4 linked regions of the Drosophila melanogaster genome follow. The gene in region 1 interacts genetically with each later gene. Each region holds a gene or a part of one and is shown in the gene's direction. Other genes may lie near its edges. The genes, in order: BEAF-32, Dll, sev and Dref.

The links.
Region 2: of BEAF-32 (region 1) and Dll, changing one enhances a phenotype caused by changing the other (phenotypic enhancement), as found in Drosophila melanogaster (one study listed by BioGRID).
Region 3: of BEAF-32 (region 1) and sev, changing one suppresses a phenotype caused by changing the other (phenotypic suppression), as found in Drosophila melanogaster (one study listed by BioGRID).
Region 4: of BEAF-32 (region 1) and Dref, changing one suppresses a phenotype caused by changing the other (phenotypic suppression), as found in Drosophila melanogaster (one study listed by BioGRID).

Annotation. Positions count from the first base shown.
Region 1 is NT_033778.4:14,768,630-14,773,155, forward strand, and holds BEAF-32 (boundary element-associated factor of 32kD), read left to right. Parts: upstream 1-1,839; 5' UTR 1,840-1,956; coding exon 1,957-2,200; exon of another isoform or gene 2,201-2,772; coding exon of another isoform or gene 2,773-3,013; intron 3,014-3,170; coding exon 3,171-3,778; 3' UTR 3,779-4,001; downstream 4,002-4,526.
Region 2 is NT_033778.4:24,813,271-24,817,874, forward strand, and holds the start of Dll (Distal-less), read left to right. Parts: upstream 1-1,551; 5' UTR 1,552-2,166; coding exon 2,167-2,297; intron 2,298-4,323; coding exon 4,324-4,499; intron 4,500-4,604. UniProt on the Drosophila melanogaster protein: Transcription factor that plays a role in larval and adult appendage development. Specifies the identity of ventral appendages (including legs and antennae) and suppresses dorsal appendage development. Involved in patterning the distal-proximal limb axis.
Region 3 is NC_004354.4:11,083,288-11,088,158, reverse strand, and holds the start of sev (sevenless), read left to right. Parts: upstream 1-1,859; 5' UTR 1,860-1,963; intron 1,964-3,911; 5' UTR 3,912-4,033; coding exon 4,034-4,714; intron 4,715-4,871. UniProt on the Drosophila melanogaster protein: Receptor for an extracellular signal required to instruct a cell to differentiate into an R7 photoreceptor. The ligand for sev is the boss (bride of sevenless) protein on the surface of the neighboring R8 cell.
Region 4 is NT_033779.5:9,963,607-9,968,997, reverse strand, and holds Dref (DNA replication-related element factor), read left to right. Parts: upstream 1-1,768; 5' UTR 1,769-2,112; coding exon 2,113-3,238; intron 3,239-3,329; coding exon 3,330-3,622; intron 3,623-3,682; coding exon 3,683-4,070; intron 4,071-4,130; coding exon 4,131-4,453; 3' UTR 4,454-4,851; downstream 4,852-5,391. Other genes in the region: RpL13 (ribosomal protein L13), read right to left, coding at 577-681, 751-1,059, 1,121-1,363.

The DNA of each region.
Region 1 (4,526 bases):
TATTCGGAATTGTAAACTATATAGTTAGTTTTCTTATTTATTTAGCTTTTTTGAACTACCATTTGCTGCGAGCACTACTTTTTTATTAACATAAAATTTGCACCAACGAATCAATCGCGCTCGCTCTCGCACTCTCCGTCACTCTATCTCCCTCTCGCACGCGCTCTCCGCAGCTTGCGCAGAAAGTTTTTTGGGCGATTTCTCCATGTGTGTATATGCTGCTCTGCTTGCTGTTGCTGCCTTTACATATTTCATATTTACATACGCCTATACATACTGCAGCACAGCTATAATTTTTCACCGATTTTCCCAACCGATATGTTTAATTGCCAACCGCAGCGGATTTCCAACTATATTTTCTTCTTATTGTTTTCGCTTTTCACTGGGCTTACGTATGTATGCATGTGCGTGAATTGGAGTACTTCTTTTTAGTAACAGTAAAAATGAGAGGGCGAGAAAGAGAGAGCACTGGATGAGCTCGTTTTTCATTATTTCGCATTTAAAATGTGTAACTCTGTCTTTTAATTCATTTATTTAACAACGCGCACACATACACAAAAACACACACACACACAAAGCAGGAGCAGACGCAACAAAATGTAGCATTTTTCTTTGTATTAATTTTGCACTGTTTTAAATGACATTTACTTTTGCTGCTTGTTCGCAAATTTTTTTGCGTATATTTGTGCTTTTTCCGATTGGGCGTTTTTTTACAATTAAGCAGATATATTCACAACAATTGACATTTCCAAAAACAAACGACGGCGACGGCGAAAAAATTAAGAGACAGTGTGACCGTGGAGCAATCCGATAAATATACTCTCTGTGCCAACTCTAAAACTCCACATAAAATACCAACGTATATAAATGCATATAACGAAAATATTAGCTTTTTGAATTTGCAACTCTGGGGTTTTAATTTATGGCGGATTTCTTGAAAACGGTAATATTGACAAAACTTTAAATGTTCGTATTGTTTTCTTTATTCAAAATTTTAATTTTTCAAATTTTTTTGTGTATCGACATTGTGGATCATTAATAGTTTTAAATTAACAGGAATTCTAGGAAAACCTACAATTTGGTAAGCTAGAGCTAAGAATCGATTCTTTTATTCATATTGGTTGGGCAACATCTTTCGGTGCAGCTAATCCACATGCAGGCATCTGTATTGCCTGGTAGCCTTGAATTTCTTTGATAATCTTATCCTCCTGGCTGTCCAAGGCGACAAAGACCAAGAAGAAATCGTAGTGCGTTTCGATGTCCCGCGCACTAACCACGACGCACCAATCCATCAGGGCCTCGGTTATCTTATCTGTAGCCTTGTCCGCACTGGAAACGTCCGGATTCCAGTGGGAATCCTCTTCATCCTCTGATGTTGGATATATGACATAGGTTCTGTAGCACTTGTGCCGCTCCATGTGTGAAGTGCATCCATGTTATTTGACCAAGCTCGATTCTGGAGAAGACATTCCAGACTTTGCCGCGACTGCGCTTCTTGTTGAATTGCCGGACTCCGGCGTTCAATTGGGCCTTGATATTGTCCTGGCTGTAGGAAAGCCATCGAAACTTTACCCATTTAAATAAAAAGATTCTACTGATTCAATATACAATAGTCAACTCAATTGAGTTTATCGATAGACTGTTTACTATGGGTAATCGGAATCGCTAGTCATATGAGAATTTTAGGTTTTAAACTAAAAGAAAATATTCAAAAAACATAAGAAACAAATAAAATTCAAAAAAAATTAAACTTACAATCAAGTTCTTTTTAAGAAAATCAGTGGCTGTTTACACCACCTTACACTTTTCGCACCGTGCTAGCGCTTGTTTACCAACACAGTTTTGTGCGTGACTGAATTTTCGTGAGTTTGTATTTGTGTACATTTTGTAATTTGGGTTTGTTTTCTTCTTGGCAAACCGAATTACCACCGCAAATCGAACAACCGATACACCACGATGCATGTTGAAAAGAAATCAGAGCTTCGTAGCCTACTAAAATCCGGGGACAAGCGTTGCAAACTCGTTGAGCCCAGGAACACCAAAAGCTGCGTCTGGAGGTTTTTCAATCTCGTCCAGTGCGACGACCACATAGAGCCGTACGCCTGCTGCAAAACCTGTGGCGATCTGTTATCCTACAGCGGCAAAACTGGAACCGGATCCCTGCTACGGCACCGATGTCTCCACTCCAGCAGCAGTAACGGTAAGTTCGGGATCCGAAATCTCACGCACGCCCTTCACAATCGAAATCCACTGCCACGCGTGCTCCGTGCCGTAGAAACCGAGCACGGATCAGTGCCCGATGCCATCGCGATAAATCCACGGGTCATCGGTACAGGCTCCTCCACTTTGGCGCGGAAAAAGTAGAAACTCTAGTTATAGCAAGGCAGTAAATCGTCTTGAAAAAAAAAACTATAGATAAAAATAGTGCAGGATAGGTACAGAATTTTCCCCAACCAGTGGTTGTGCTTGTAAATAGTTTATAAACCTATTGTATATTATCTAAAATGCTATTAAAAAATCAGCTAAAAAATATTGTTATGTTAAAAGTATTTTTATGATTTTGCGCTGTTGTAAAGTATGTAAACATTCTCTTATTTTCGTTTTTCACCTCTGTTTGCCGTTGCCTTTGTTTCCACTCTTATGTTCATGCGTTTTACAACACTGCAACGGCACTTGACAACACTGACTACAGCAACGCCAATATCGCAATAAATAAATTTGTGGAGAAAAATCACTTTTGACGTACTAATTACCTAGAGAAAAGTATTAAAAATGCCCAAGGGTCGTGTTAGCAATGTGTGGCAGCACTACGATATTAACGAGGAGTGCGAAAACTTTGCGATATGCCGTTATTGCGGCAACAATATATCGCGTGGTGGCATGGCCAGCAATTTGAAGGGCAACAATACGACCAATTTGTGGACGCATCTGCGGCACAAGCACAGGGACGAGGTGCTGGTCAGTCCGGTGCAGCAACGTCCCCAGGCCCGGATGATCCCAATCATCAAGAAAGGTAATTCCAGCGAAGTTCGTATGGCGGGCTATCGACCCTTGGGTCGGCGGGAAACTATCGCCGGCGCCCATCTCTGGGTTATGATATTTTTGTTATTATCCGGTAGCTGTACCAATATGTATCGTATTAACCATCGCTTCCATCCTTTGCATTGCAGACAAAACCGTGCGGATTACCAAGGCCAAGACGCTGAGGGAGCCGCTGCGTGTGGCCAAGCCGAAGATCGAGTCGAACGTCGCCAATTATCTGGGCGAGGCGGGCGCCCTGCCGCAAAAGTGGGAGGAGTACGAGCAGAACGATGAGATTAGCGAGGACATTAAGGACATCATATACAGCGAGGATCCACTGTGCTATAGTCCTATACACGTGATGGATGATGAGGGCCTGGATCAGCCTGAGAAGCAAGTGACCGTGCTAACCCATTCGACTTCACCAGCCGGTGGAAGTAGCAGGCCCATCGGTGTTGGTTCGGGCGTACAGGCTACTGTGGTGGCCTCCACGTCCTCCAGCAGCAGCTCGGCCAAGCAGCTGAAGAACAACCTGGAGACGTCCATCGAACGGCTGACCGCTGTCAGCGAACAGCTCAGCTACATCATACAACAGAATCACGAGGAGCTCACCAAGGACGACGACTACTATTTTGCACTTAGCTTGGTGCCCGCAATGCGCCACCTTTCGCTCAGTCGGAAGATGTACGTGCGGTCCAAGATCCAGGATATACTGTTCAAGGAAAGTGAGGACTCAACGCTTGCCAAGGATGAGTAGGCGGTCCATTATATACATTTACCCAGAGGAATAATAAAACGAGGAACGAAGGAAACCATATGGTAAATGGGCAAATCAGCGTGTCGTAATCTAGGTTAATAATTATACATATGTTATGTATTCATTTAAATTATGCTCTTTTATCGATTGAAAATACTTACTTTGATTGTATATTTCCCAATTATATTTTACTTAAAACTCAAATAAAGCACTACAATAAATTAAGGAAAAGGCGATTTCATGGTGTATTACGTTTATTTTAAATAAATTTTATTTAAATAACTTGTTAAGATTTACAAAACAGAGAGCGTTGCTAGATTGTTATTATAAATTATTGTATTGTAATTTACAAATCGATTTTGCGGCTAAGTTCTGCTGTTTATGCGTTTCTTATAGAGATATGCTTGTATTGGCCGCTCCCCAATTGCGTAGCCAGCCATTTCGTTTTTCTCTTCAATATTTTGTAGATCTAGGAGTGCAAGCGTACATTATCATACAATACGAATACAAATTACAGTAAAACTCCTACAAATCGAGCAATAAACAATAAACTTAAGCCTATATATATATATATATAGTATGCTAGGCTTAGATTCTAGTCAACAAATCGGTAGTTTATCAAACACTGACTTGAATAGCGAAATGTATGTATGTCTAATTTGATGATTTGGTTGTTGATATAGGTAAGTGGTTCGCTCAAAATGAATTTTGAATTGTGGATATGATGGGCATTATACAAATATGTTCG
Region 2 (4,604 bases), about 10 Mb from region 1:
TGCAACAATTACGTGCATTTGCAGTGCTACCTTAAATTAGTGCAGCGCAGCCGACCAGGTCATAACTCGGAACGGCGGGCTCCACAGCCGATCCGATCCGATCCAATCCGGACGAGGGGATTAGCATTTCAGTCGGATCAGGCGCTCAATTACCGCTGGATGCTCGATTTATATTTACTTTTATAAACAAACTTAATTCGATTTTTGTGGCACTCTGGTTCTGGTTAATAGCGCCGCTCCGACTCATGCATATGCATATTTTCCCACTTTCAGCGGAAATCCTTCTCAGGTGACAACTGCCTGCTGTTGGGAGAGGGGAAAGGGGTGGAATGGAGACCGCTTTGCCGCCGCTTCAACTGCCAGTTAGGCTAGGCGGACAAAGGTGGAAATTCCGCTGTTCTCTCCGCTCGGTGACTTTGTCTTGTGAATGAAAAAGTCCGCTCGAGCAAACGGTCCGTGTCGCTTGGCCCTAGCCACAAAGCGACATTATGTGGCCGAAAGGACGCCATTTTGAATTGGGCCTACTCGAGCTCTCTGCCCTCTCTCGAAACGCTCAAGGGGGCGTGGCGAGGGAGTTTCTGCTCTCAGCAGGGGGCGTGCTGGGTGCGCAGGTAGTATGTGTGTGTACGAGTGCGGCTGCGAGGGTGTGTGTGTGTGTGTTTGACAGGTGAGCAGGTTGGCCCGATAGACTGGTTTGTCGCTGCCAAAGGCGGCCACTAGGTGGCGCCACAAGTACCAACTCCAAGGAGGCTTTAAGACTCCCTAGAAAGGATTTTCAAATTAAAGGTTCCATTAGAAAATGATAGCAGACCTGTCATATATACCACGCTATGTTGTTTGTGTGCGTAGCGTTTTTTCCTTACAAGCAAGCCCACCGATTGTAAAACGTAAACAAATCATTAAGTTAATTCGTCTGTTGTCCGCAACTGTTGATTACCCGTGGAAATGCGTGTGCCACAGTTTCGATTGATCCGAAAATAAGACCCGAAAGGAGCAGCGGCTAAATAAGAAGACAAATTATAGGTTCAACAATCAATTTAATAATTGAGACCTTTGCATTTAATCAACATTATTTAAAACGTCAAAATATTTGCACTTTCCACGGGCAGTTCCCCCTGGAATTTGCATATACACGCCGTAAGTTCCCCAAATCCGTGGGGACGCGGGGCGACAGGCCACGCCTCAATCTCGATGCGGGCCCTAGACCTAGACAAAGTTGACGAGTTGAGCGGCACAAAAACGGGGTCCCAGAGCCCAGCCCCACCCCCGTGCACCCGGAACGGGGAAATTTATAGTATTGGTGCGGTTTCTGCACCACCATACAGAGACACCACCGAGAAAACCGGTTGCAAACCACCCGATTGGCGACGCTCGGCGAGAGTCACTGCCAGCGGCTTGGGCCTCAGCAGCCGTCCCGCTCCGACGCACGGCGATGGATGACATCTGCGCCGCTCGCACACCACTGCTACAGAGCGGCAAAGCGGCACGGCCGCAAAGCGACAGCGCAGCGAGTCGAAGTCTCGCGCAACCGCGCCGCGAAAACCTCACCTAGTCGTATACGCACTTTGTTCGTGTGCAGTCGTCGCCGCTGTTCTCGCCGTTGAATTGCCGTCGTCGATCCGTCGTAGCGTTTTGCGCCTTGCGTTTCTGCGTCGAGCTAAGTGATCCGTCGCGGACTATAAAGTGATTTGTAGTGATCTGATCTGATCTGATTTGATATGAATTGATTTGATTGATTCGCAAAACGGAGTTGAAAATCGTGAAAATCTACAAAGAATATGCACAGCCAGAAATCGAAGTGATACAAGAAAGCAATTTCGAGTGAGTTGAGTTGCTAACAAGTTGAGTGTCAGTGCTGAGAAAAGTGCCTCCTCGCCATCTGAAAGGATTTACGCGCTCAACAGTTCCGCCAAATCAAGTCGCCGAACTGAACTGAAGCCAAGACATTGTGTCCTACAAAAACCTTAGATACGCAAGCCACACACTCCTACTGTGCAAGTATAGCTGATCATTGCCATCGGATCTCTGAGAACTTCCTTCCCGCGCGCATCCCCCTGAACAGCCGTCAAAATTCTTGATAAAGTGGCCTCAATAGGCGCCAACACGCTCAATTTCACGGACCTAGGGAGCCCCTACGAGGGGCCTCCCAGCACCCCCCAGTCGGGCATGGACGCCCCCGACGCCCCGCACACGCCCAAGTACATGGACGGCGGGAACACGGCGGCCAGCGTCACGCCCGGCATTAACATCCCGGGAAAGTCCGCCTTCGTGGAGCTGCAGCAGCACGCCGCCGCCGGGTGAGTGTCCCCAAGATCAGTGGAGTGGAGTCACCGGGAGGATTGCAGAAAGTGTTTCGGCGAAAAGACTCGATCCCCTCCAGACTTCAGCCCTGCCAAAACCAAACCTATCGGAACTCAATCTCAATCTGTGCGGAGCAGTTGACACACCCGAGAAAAAAGGAGTTTGTGGCCAGGGCGTTCCCAAAACTCGAATATGAATCTTTTTAATGAATCTAAAGAGCGCTATACGTACCATAAAACCATTTGGTCTTTAAAATCATTTCATTCATTTCAAGGGAAAAAGTTAGTTGGCATAGGACTACAAGCTGCATAATTGCATAAATAGATAATATAGTACATTGACATTACAATAAACAAATTCAATTTTTAATAATAAATAACAGTTGGTAAAAGCAAGCAGTTAAATAAAGTCAGGTTAACTCAAGAGTATATTGTCTAAGTAGTTCATATAACTTTTTAGGGTCTTAATTACTGATTACATTACAATAGCCAATAGTCTTATTTCGATCGATACATAAATTTTACTATTAAAAAACTTGTATAATTATTAGTTGTCTTAAAAAATGAAAGCAACCAATTGTAGATTTATGAATTCGTCAATGTAATCCAAAGTTAAAAATTATTTTGACTTCCATAAAAATGTACTTCTAAAGTAACAAATGTAGTATAAATTCGAAATCACAATTTTAAATTTCAATTTGCCAATTCGCCATTTAGCCTTCTCTAGGCCCTCAGCCAAATCGACTAAGACTGAATCGATGAAAGTTGCCGTCAGCTTTCCATCTTTATGATACTATTTTCGGGATCGATTTCGCGTTGGGGTCTCGCTATACTATTAGTTTTGATTAAGAAAATCACTTCAGCTGCACTTTCCGGCTTACAGTTCATGCTGGTGCCTGGCTGGCCGGCAGCGGAAGCCAAAAATAAATTCAATTAAGTGTAGTTTACTCCCGGTCCGTGTTCTAAATAAGCGTCTGATCCGGAGGGTTCTGTTCCTATCCAACAACACGTTCCTCATGGGGTAGCAATAAGTCGGGCTCGGTGGTCTGTTTACTGTTACCGCTCACTCGGCGAACTGTTTGCAGCCGCAAATTGTTTTCCCAACGCACGATTCGATTTTTCATTATACATATTTTATTGCATTCTTGGTTTTGAGCCTTGCGGTTTCCACTGCTCTGTCATTTGTGCGTGTTGGGCTCTTGGGCTGGGACGGGACTTGGAATGCTTGGCTGCGCCGACCAGCCCTCGGGAGTTGTTCCTGGCCACGACTTTTCTCCGTCCCCGGAGTGGCTGCCATGTTGTTCGCTGTTCGCTGTCCGCTGTCCGTTGTCCGTTCTCCGTTGTCCGTTGGCCGCTGTCCGTTGCGGTTTCTGCTGCTTTCGGCCCGCTTCCGTTTCCGTGTTTGAGGGGCCAGGAGAGCATTGAATATTTCATGCAGTTCGCTCGGAACATAATGCATGGGAACTTGCTCAACTGTTTCGCCCGCAAAGTGTTAACAAAATATTTACCGCGAGCGAGCGGGACTGCAAACGGAACTGCGGACCAAACCGAAACTAAAACACAGCGACTCTGACACTCGTATTGATTTTTCTTTGATATATTAAGCCGCATCCAGTTCGGGCTTTGGATAGGTTTTGGTTTTGTTTTTGGTTTCGGTTCTGGTTTTTGTAAATGAAGTCATGGCAAAAATTTCCTTCCTCTCCGCCAGCCTAATTTTTTGTTGTGAGAGAAAAAGTTTTGGTTTCGACGCTTCTTGCATTAAACATGAAACATTTTGGGCCCACTTTTAGATATTTTCCCGACCGAACGCTCGTCCTATGCTCGGCGACGTTTGAATTTAATAGTGAATAGTGAAAAGTGTAGACAAAACACGCAAGTAGGAAAAGTTTTGTCCCCGGCACGATTCATTCACATTCACAGCCGGTGTACGCCACTTCCATTACTTCCACTACTTCTTCCACAACTGCCACAGCTATATTACAGCCCCGTATTGATTATTTTCCGTGCATTTGCGGCATTCCAGGTACGGCGGCATCCGGAGCACCTATCAGCATTTCGGACCGCAGGGCGGCCAGGATTCCGGCTTCCCCAGTCCGCGCAGCGCCCTCGGCTACCCGTTCCCGCCAATGCACCAGAACTCCTACTCCGGCTACCATCTGGGCAGCTACGCCCCGCCCTGCGCCAGTCCACCGAAGGATGGTAAGTACTGCTCCTCCTTATCCGATCAGTCTCAGGCCCAATCCCAGTCCCAATCCCATACCTACTCTCCCAGAGATCCGGGTCTTTTGTTGAGAAAGAGATCTT
Region 3 (4,871 bases), on another chromosome or scaffold:
GAAATAAATATTTTTATGCAAGACCAATTTGTAGTGCTACAAAATTGCAAATTTCACTACAGTTCAAGATTGAAAAGAGTTTGCATGCAAAATGTGCACAATACGTCAATCAGAAGGTGAATTTCCGGGGTTGTCCCTTTTTTTTTCGAAAAAAATGCGAAAATCTGATTTTCACGTGACAGTCTGTGAAATAGGTATGTAGCACCTAGTCCGCCGGCGAATCCATTGAGAATCGCTCGGGTTGATAAGCCGCATCTTCCGTCAAGTGTGTGTAATAAGTTTGCCGTCTAATCAATTCCAGAATATTTCAAACGATTAGTACGAATTCGATGATCCCAGGCGGGAGATTGGATTTCCACAGATTATTCGGGCCAAGAAATTGTGCGCACGAGTGCAGTTTGGATGTCTGCGGCACATCCTTTCCGTTGGCCAAAAAATCCATAAGCGAAAGGGATACTTGGACTTGATGGCGGAACCGGAAACGGAAGCTGTCACGCAAGCCTTTCACTCGCCGCTCAATTTTTCATCCCGCAGTGTCAGTTGTATGAGTCACGAGTCATGTGTAACCGGAAAATTGCCTACTCTTGTGTGCTTCAAATGCTCGGAAAATGCTTTAAAATATTGCATATTTCTTAGCTTGCGAGTTTTTGATTCTACAGAGTAAAAAAAAAATACCTAAATGTTTGTGTAAATCAATGAAATTAATAGCTTAACTTGTTTTCTTCATATTTCTCGGTTAAAAAGTTATGGAAATATGATATTTTGTAGTTTGATAGAAAATTTTTAATGAAATTTCTATGACTTTCCACATCTCGTTTACTTTTCATGGAAATACACTTCTATTCACCCCAATTGATGACTTTATTTTCTGATTGTGTGGGCTAGTTCCCTATTGAATTCAATTATTTTCAAGCGTTTACTGCTGCTTGCGATCAATTAGTTTAATAATCAATTTAGGTGTGCTGTTAATGCTTAGCTAAATGTAAAGAGTGAGTCAGCTAAACGATTTAAACAAATTTTCTGCCACGTTTATTTGTTGGCGAAAAAGCGCGTTGATTTGCGCTATTCATGTGACGATGTTTAGAGTAAATTGAGTTGTATTTTAAATTATTTCTGTTAACATTTGTAAACGAATAAAGTTTTTTTCCATTGCAAGAAGTTGAAATTTAACCCTCTTTGGATGTAAGCTTTTCAATATATTTAGTCTTAATAAGTCTAGCTCAAAAATAAGTACTATAATTTAATAATTATATACATTTTACATAGCCTCGGCCCATTACCTTAATTTTAATGATACAAAGATGTTACTATGTAAGTCGGAAGCTTATTAAAAACCGAAAATCATCAAATCAACTAGATGCACAATGTTAAGATCATGTTTTTATTAAGATTATATTTTAGATAGATACTCTTGAGGTGGCATTGGTTTCTTGAGATGGAAAATACATCTATCTATCTATGTATCTATAAGAACTTAAATATCTGGCGGCCTGCTTGCGATCTGCGATCAACCGATTGAGTTGAGCTTTGACCCATGGAAAGAGGAGCGCGGTGGGCTATCTACCCATGATATCCAGTTTAGGGGTTGCCCTGCCAATGACGTCATAGTTGCTGCGTCAACGAAAAAGAAGATCAATGGTCATTTAAGATCGGTTCGGTTCAGTTCGGTTCGGTTGCGGTGCGCTTCGTCACTCATCGTTCATCGCATCGTATGGTATCGTATGGTATCGTATGGTATCGTATCGCATCGCATCGCTTCGGTTCGGTTTCAGTTCCGTGCTCAAGTTCTCCAGCTGGGGGGTTGGACTTGGACTTGGAGCTTGGGGCTTGGTTAAAAAGCCGCCGCTCGCCGGCAAATCAGTTCTGCTGCGATCGCGCCACTGCGCACTACGTAACGCTTCGGGAATCGCACATCCAGATCCAGATTCAGATCCACATCCAGATATCTGTGACATTTTGTCGAGTGAGTTGCGTTCTCAAAGATACAAGATACATCCGTGCGCGTATGTGTGTGTTTGCATGAATTTCGGCTCTTTTAATACCCTTTTTTTTTCGCGTGCACTAAGTGTTCCTATGTGTGTGTGTGTGGAGTTGCTTTTCAGTTGGGGCCGCAACTGCAACAATAAAATGCAATTAAGCCGCTCAAATCAACAATAAATTGAATTAAAGCGCGTGAACAGCGCTTAACAACTTCAACAGCGGCGATTCGAGCGAAATGTGGGTGAGAGTTTAAGGCTCCATCGGTTTTGACTTTCTGATTGTACAAATATGTATATATATATACTATAGCATACATACCTTCGACTAATTAATGCAAAACGCTGGCCGGCAGCTTTTGCATAATATTCTCTGAATAACTTTAATGCAATTAATCCCGCTGTGATCTTTCGTGTTTTCACTATTTCGCGCGGTTTATTCAATTTGAATTTCAATTTATTTTCGGTTTTTCTGTTTCATTTTGTTTATACATATATATATTTGTTCGGTCTAGTCTGCTCATCGGGCGATTTAATTAACATTTTCCGTGCTGCTGTGCTGTTGTTGTTGCTGGTAAATATGAAATTAAAGTGCAATTAACTATTATATATACATATATATATATATACATATATATATGTATATCTATGGTTTTGCTGAACTTGCGGACAAAAGGGATTTCCGTTTTTGAAAGTGCGACTCCGCTCGATTATTCTCCGTCCGTCGAATGTGTTTGCATCTTAATGAGGATAAATTTGTTATGGCCACTTCCCGTTCGCTATTGTTGTTGTTGTTGTTGTTGTTGTTGTTGTTTTTGCTGTGGTCGGTCGAAGGGGGCGTGACTTATTGGCCATGCATTACGCCATGTTAATTGAAACTTGTCGCTTGGCTAGCTGATTATGCAGACGCCATATTAATTGGACCATGGACCATGAGAGCATGGACCATCCATGTCCTCTAATCGAAATCCCGGCGACATTTGGATGAGTTGGGCGGTGGAAGCTGGCCAAACCAGTTACGGAGATCATTGGGATTTTGGCTTATCGATCCGGACTTAGATTGTGTGTGTGTGTGTTTGTGTTTACCCTGTTTATCTCGCCGGCAATGTGCGTTGAACCTTTGAGCTGCATCTGAAATAAGTAGAATGCAATGTAGTTAAGCTTTTTCTTGGGGTATATTCACTTGCCTACTTATTTTTATTAATTATTTTCCAAATATATCAAATATATATCAAATATATCAAATATATTATATACATCAAATTTTCAAATATGCAAATATCATTTAATGCTATTGGTACAGCTATTAATCAACTATACATGTAAATTGTTTATGCTTGTTACACTAAATTGAGTAATAATCCGGAAAACTCATGATAATTGACGGTTTGACAAAAATGATAGTAATATAGCATTTTGCAAGGGCAGAACTGCCACTTTGTAAATACAGTGATTGGAGTATCTATTAATTAGACAAAACTTGGCTTGCTGATATACTGCAAATATTTGTAAATTACTAGGTTCGGGCCTTTTAGCAGCTTTTTTTATGCCTTTAAATTGCAACTGCAATGAATTGAAGTACAAGAAATAAGTCATTCTGTTTAATGGAAAGTTAACGAGACTCATTTCTCAAATTCGCTAAATAAATTATATAAAAATGTATTCATATATTTTAACATTATATGACATAATGTTGAGTAAAGGGTATCCGTAAAATATCACTTGCATTTAATTTTTTGTAACTGCCTCGTTTGCTGCTTCTCGAATTTGCATAAAATGGAAATTAGTTTGTGTACTTAAAATTTCCAATTGAATTGGTTTTTTGACTCTGCTATTTGAAATCTGATTTTTATTTGTGCGTTGTTCAAATTCACCCCTCTCTTTCTATTTCTCTTTTGATTTACACTGCGGTGGTCACTGTGTTGTGTGTTTCAGTTTCGTTTTCAGTCAAATGCGGCACTAAAATGTTAATTCAGCCAAAGCAAACAACGATTATCGAGTGAAATAGGAATCGAACGCCACAAATCGCGAACTCGGGGTGAAGATCGAGTGCCTCGATGACTATGTTTTGGCAACAAAATGTAGACCACCAGTCGGATGAGCAGGACAAACAGGCGAAGGGTGCGGCGCCCACAAAGAGATTGAACATCAGCTTCAATGTGAAGATCGCGGTGAATGTGAATACCAAGATGACCACCACCCACATCAATCAGCAGGCACCTGGCACCTCCTCCTCCTCGTCGAACTCCCAGAATGCCTCACCCAGCAAGATTGTGGTCCGCCAGCAGAGCAGCTCCTTCGATCTACGTCAGCAATTGGCTCGCTTAGGCCGCCAATTGGCCAGTGGCCAGGATGGCCATGGCGGCATATCCACCATACTGATCATCAATCTTCTCCTGCTCATTCTACTCTCGATCTGCTGCGATGTCTGCCGATCGCACAACTATACGGTGCACCAGAGTCCCGAACCCGTCTCCAAAGACCAAATGCGCCTGCTGCGTCCCAAGCTGGACAGCGATGTGGTCGAGAAGGTGGCCATCTGGCACAAGCACGCCGCCGCAGCTCCGCCAAGCATTGTCGAGGGCATCGCCATCAGCAGCAGGCCACAGTCAACGATGGCCCATCATCCAGATGATCGAGATCGGGATCGTGATCCTTCGGAGGAACAGCATGGCGTCGACGAGCGAATGGTCCTGGAACGCGTGACCAGGGATTGTGTGCAGCGCTGCATTGTTGAGGTGAGTTCTAGATTTCTAACATTACCTAAGTTTTATATTGTATTTACATACATTGTGATAATGCACATTTCGTGATGGTGTCAAAAGAGCATAAAACATGCATAAAACATGCATAAAACATGACTTTCCCCAGGGCAAAGCAAAGAAAAAAAAGGGT
Region 4 (5,391 bases), on another chromosome or scaffold:
TTTTAAACTCAATATTTTCAGATATAGTGAAACGCGCATATGTACATACATATGTACATAGGCATAAATACCTTAAAAGGTATTGCAAATATATTACTGCAGAGATAAAATACAGTTGTTTAGTTTAATCTTTACCCTACACCATTCTAATGAAAAATTCAATATATTGTAATTAACATTTCAACAAAAGATATTTAAAAAAATAAGAAACGTAGCTTCTGCAACCTTTTCGTTTGCTCAAGATGCGTATCCTAAGAAAATCTTCTATATGGCACCACAGATTTAACTTTTTAATAATTTAACCCAAATAAATTAAGAAGCTGGTAAAAATAAGAAAAAATAAAAAAGTAATGGCAAGCAACATACGTTTCTTTTTTTGGATGCAGCAGCTAAAAACAAACGCGCCAGTTTGAATTCAACGCGCCAAAGCTACTTATCGATAGCAACACGGGTTATCGATAAGTCTTACGCCAGACGCGACAATAACAACAATGTGCACAAATATTCACGTTTAAGAAAAACTAAGATTTTATTCTGGTTGATGTTGTAGACAGAACGATCAGGTTAAGATGTGGTTTACTTCTTGGCCTTCTTGGGGTCTCCCTTGGCGGCGTCCTCGCTCTCAGCGGCCTCCTTGGCGCGCTTGGCGCGGATTCCGACCAAACGGGCATCAGTGCGAGCCTGCAAATATAGTTTGGCGGCGAATAAGTATAACGAGCTACCGGCGGATCACGAAACCAAAAAACTTACCTTGCGCAGCGTGGCGAAGGCCTTGAACTTCTTCTCATCCTTGGTCACCTCACGGAACTCGACCACGGCGGGCTGCTCATTTTTGATGGGCAGGACGGGTCCCTTAAGCTGGGTAGCCAGCTTGCACTCCTCCAGAGAGGACTCGCCGGCGCGGATCTTCTTCTCGTTGATGGGGAACAGGATCAACTTGCTGCGGTACTCCTTGAGGCGCTGGATGTTACGCTGGCGGGACTCCAGGGATTTGTTCTTGCGCCTCCTGTCGACGGCAATGCCGATGGTCTTGGCGAAGTTGGCGCCAATGCCGGCACCCTGTAAACAGAGATTTTGTTAGTGGCCAATGGATTCCGATAATGTTTTCGGCTTCACTTACCTTCAGCTCCTCCAGGGTGAAACCACGGCCGGCACGCAGCTTGGTGTGGTAGCGGATGGTGGGGCAGCGAACCACAGGGCGCAGGGCACCGCTGGCTGGGCGGGGGAAGACGGCCTTAGCCTTCTTGACGCGGTTCGCATGCCTGCGGACCTTGCGGGCCGGCTGGTTGAACCAGGTCTTCACATGCCGCTGCCACCACTTGTGGTAGTGCTGATTCGGAATCATATTGTTACCCTTACCCATCTTGGCGGTTTAGATTGGCTGCAACGAGGGCAAAAACACAATAATAACATCAATGTCTCTTTGTAAACTCGTATATATGGGATAACCAAGCTGCAGGCCCACGTGGCTGGCGAATTTCGATTTGTTTAAGCCGTAATTCCGAGCACTTCTTCATGCCTACGGGTGTCAATGATGCCCACTTGTGTCCTCCACACTTGGCACACTCGATGGCTCGATTTGCATTTCGTTTATCTTTTATTTTCATTGAATTTCGTGACGCTCACGAAATTTACACACCTTTTCTTCCCAACAACGAATTAAAAAGGAAATCGCAACCAACTTCACGTCGTAGGCCAAGCGAAAATTTCCCTAGAGAAATTCCCCCGGCCGAGCGAGAAATTTCCCCAGCTATCGATTGGTGATGCAATCAGTGTTAGCGAGAATACTCAACAAATCGCATTTTTTACGACAGTCAGACGTATTGAAATTAAAAAGCGGTGACTCTCATATTTGAGCAGTCTGTAAAAATAATCTCAAATAAATGAGAGTGCATTTGAAGCATTTAGCAACGTTTTATTGCCTTATCGATTGACGGCGTGTCGCGTGGCAACTCTGAACTGTACTTCTGATACAGATAAAAAACTATTGACTATTGAACCGTCTATCTATAATCGAGAAATTGCGCGCTAATACACGCATTGGGCACAGCAATCGTTGTCGAATCTAATTCAAAACAAACAAGAAGATCCCAATCCCCCACAGAAGACAAGATGAGCGAAGGGGTACCAGCGTCGCCCGTGGCCATTGGCGAACTCAAGTACGAGGATGTGTCGCAGCTAAATTTTTCCAAACTGTACTCGCCCAAGATGAAAAGCGTATACTGGCGCTACTTTGGATTCCCCTCGAACGACAATAATGAGGTGATTACCAAACAGAATGTGGTCTGCATTAAGTGTCACAAGGTGCTGACCAACCATGGCAACACCACCAATTTGCGTGCGCATCTCCAGCACCGACACAAGGATCTGTTCAAGGAGCTGTGCCAGGAGCACGACATCCATGTGCCGCCGCGCAAGACGCCGCGTAATGTATCCCATCCACCGCTGTCCAAGCGGAATGTTTCCTCGCGGCGGGTCAAACTGGAGTTCATTAATAACCGGAACCACGATAACGCTTCCGATGATGAACTGGACGAAGCAGCCGTGGCAACTGCGGCCATGCAGGCGGAGGAGGACGCCTCCTCGCAAACCATGCTGTACGAGACCATGGTGCCCTTCACCTACGACGAGGCCGAAAATCTGGTAGAGGAGGAGGAGCGCCTAGTTATGGAACCAAAGTACGGACGCAAACGCAAAGTGGCCACTCCATCGAGTGCCCTGATGCACGGGCGTGTCATCAAGCACGAGGAAGGCGGCTATGCCGCCGTGGCGAACATCGCCAATCTGGCCGAAGCCCTTACGGACATTGTGATTAAGGATTTGCGCAATGTGGATTCTCTGTACGATGCCGGTTTTGGTGAATTCCTGCGTCAAGTCCTAGGCAATTCGGCAGCCATGCCCGAGCCACACAAGATCGACTCTTTGATCAATGAGATGCACGCCTCCAAGTTTCTGGAGATTGGCGAAATCACGCGCGATTTCACCTCCGAGAAGCCCTTCTCTCTCGCCTTTGAGATGTGGGTGAATGTTGAACAGCGGCGCTTCCTTAGCATCTTCCATCACTTTCTGGACGAGGAGACGCACTCAGTTCGCGGTATGCTGTATGCCACCGTGGAGTACAACGACTACATCGTCTTTGACGATCTGCTGACCGACTTCTATTTGGCCAATTGCACACTGGCCATCATAAACTACGACGAGGAAGAGGACCTTTTGCACACCTATCTGCGAGAGAAAAGTGAGTGCATTAGCAAGTCAGAATTATTTACCTTATATAGAATATATATCAAATATTGGACTTCCTAATGAATATGAATCTTTTATTGCAGATATACCCATTTCGCTGTGCTACGTTTCGGTAATTGACAAATGTTTGCGTCGTGTGTTTGAGATCGAAGAGGTGGCCACTTTATTGGAGCAGGTGAAGGACCTAATGCAGCGTCATTCAACGGAGATTGCCTCCAAGGTGTCCGAGGTGCCCATGCCCACGTACAACGAGCACTTCCCCTGGACACTGTACGAAACATTGAAGTTCTTTGCCGAGTCCATATCTTGGTCCGAGGACATGGATCACCTGGTTATATCAGCCAAGACGGTGACGGAGGCCCTGAGTGCTCTGGTGGTAAGCCATCAAGCTAAATGAGACGTTTAAGCAGTTTTCTTATTGTGTGAAATCTTTTAGATTGCTTTGGACACGCTGCGTGGCGAAGACATTCCCTTGTGTAGCATGCTTTCGCCAATCACTTCAAAGATTCTTATCAAGAAGTTGGGCATCGCCGAGCAGGACGATCCCCTAATGATGAATTTGAAGCGGACCATTTCCAGTGTCCTCCAGGCGCACGTTATATCCAATGACAATCTGACCGCTGCTGCATTGTTGGACCCACGCTTCCACCGCCTGACCACCATTGACAACCTAGAGCGAACCGTTCGTATGCTGACCCATAAGTATAACATTAACTTTGGTGGAGTGGGCGAAGGGGAATCCAACGAAGTGGCAGCTACCTCCAGCGTGGTGGCCATTAAGTCAGAACCAAGAGTAGTGGACGGCAGTGCACCAAAGAAGTTGGGTAAGTGCATCGAACTAAATCGATTATCATAAACCATGGACTAAACGAAAATGCCCGTAGGTCTGAAACTGCTGTTTGACAGTAACGAGATACCAAATCCTCCGAAGCGAGATGCGGACAGCAGCGTGGAGTCCGATCTTAAGCGATATCGCAACGAGGTGGTCGTTCAGCTGGATGAGTCGCCCATCGAGTGGTGGCTCAAGATGGGACACATTTATGGAACGCTCCGCGATTTGGCCAGCCTGTACCATAGTGTGCCCGGCGTGGTGACGCTCAGCTTCAAGAAGGCGCTGAGAGACCAAATATACGACTTCAACAAGCGATTCATGCTCACCGGTAGTCACATCGACGCCATCCTCTTTCTTCATCATCACAACAATTAGTCTGCACTGGCGACTACTGTTTCTTATAATGCAAATACTTTTTAATTACTTTTAACGTAATCCGATCTTGTGTATATGAAAATGACTACCAGGGGCGAGGCAAATAGTAATAGCGATTCCGCAGTACTTTTAACCAAAAGACAGCCTTGGGACGTACACGGAACATCTTAAGTTATCGACGTATAAATGTTAAGGGAACATTTTGACATCATATATTCAAATCAAACAGATAATCTAAGAATATTTGTTTAATAAATCCATAACGAAAAAATATCACGCTTATCAAGCTCACTTGTAAATCCCCTTATATCCATTTCAAGAGAACTAATTAAATACTTAACTTAGTTGTACATAATTGATATTTTAATCTTATAAATAAATAAAATGCATCTAACTTTCGTGAATTGTTTTATTGAACTAACTAAAATTAGATATTTTACAATTAATTCAGTATTAAAAAAATTTCTGAACTACGAAACAATTAGTAGTCGGTTTGGAGTTAGCTACTTTATATATTTGACATATTTCTTTAATTTTCAAAATATGTTTTATTTTTTTACTCTGCAGCCCTCGAAATTTCCCTTTTTTAAATCATCGGAAAATTTTCATATTTTTCGTCTGCGACAAACAAAATCTAAATAATCTTCGACATTTGTTTTTTAATTAAGTTAATTTTTTTACTGATAGCTTTTAAACTTTAAAATAAAACAAATAGTAAAAATTTTAAATAATATAAAACCGGGAGGAAGTCTGTATTTTAGTCATTTCGGATTTCGCATTGGCTGGTCACACCAATTAGACGTAGGCACCCGACCCACGAACTGGATTCCTCACAAAAGAAGGGCACGAAAGCCGCGATATTACTGCCAATAGGACTGAAACCAATAGATCGAAGAACTTGCTCTGCCAGCAGGAGATCTCTGAAAATGCGCCTCCAG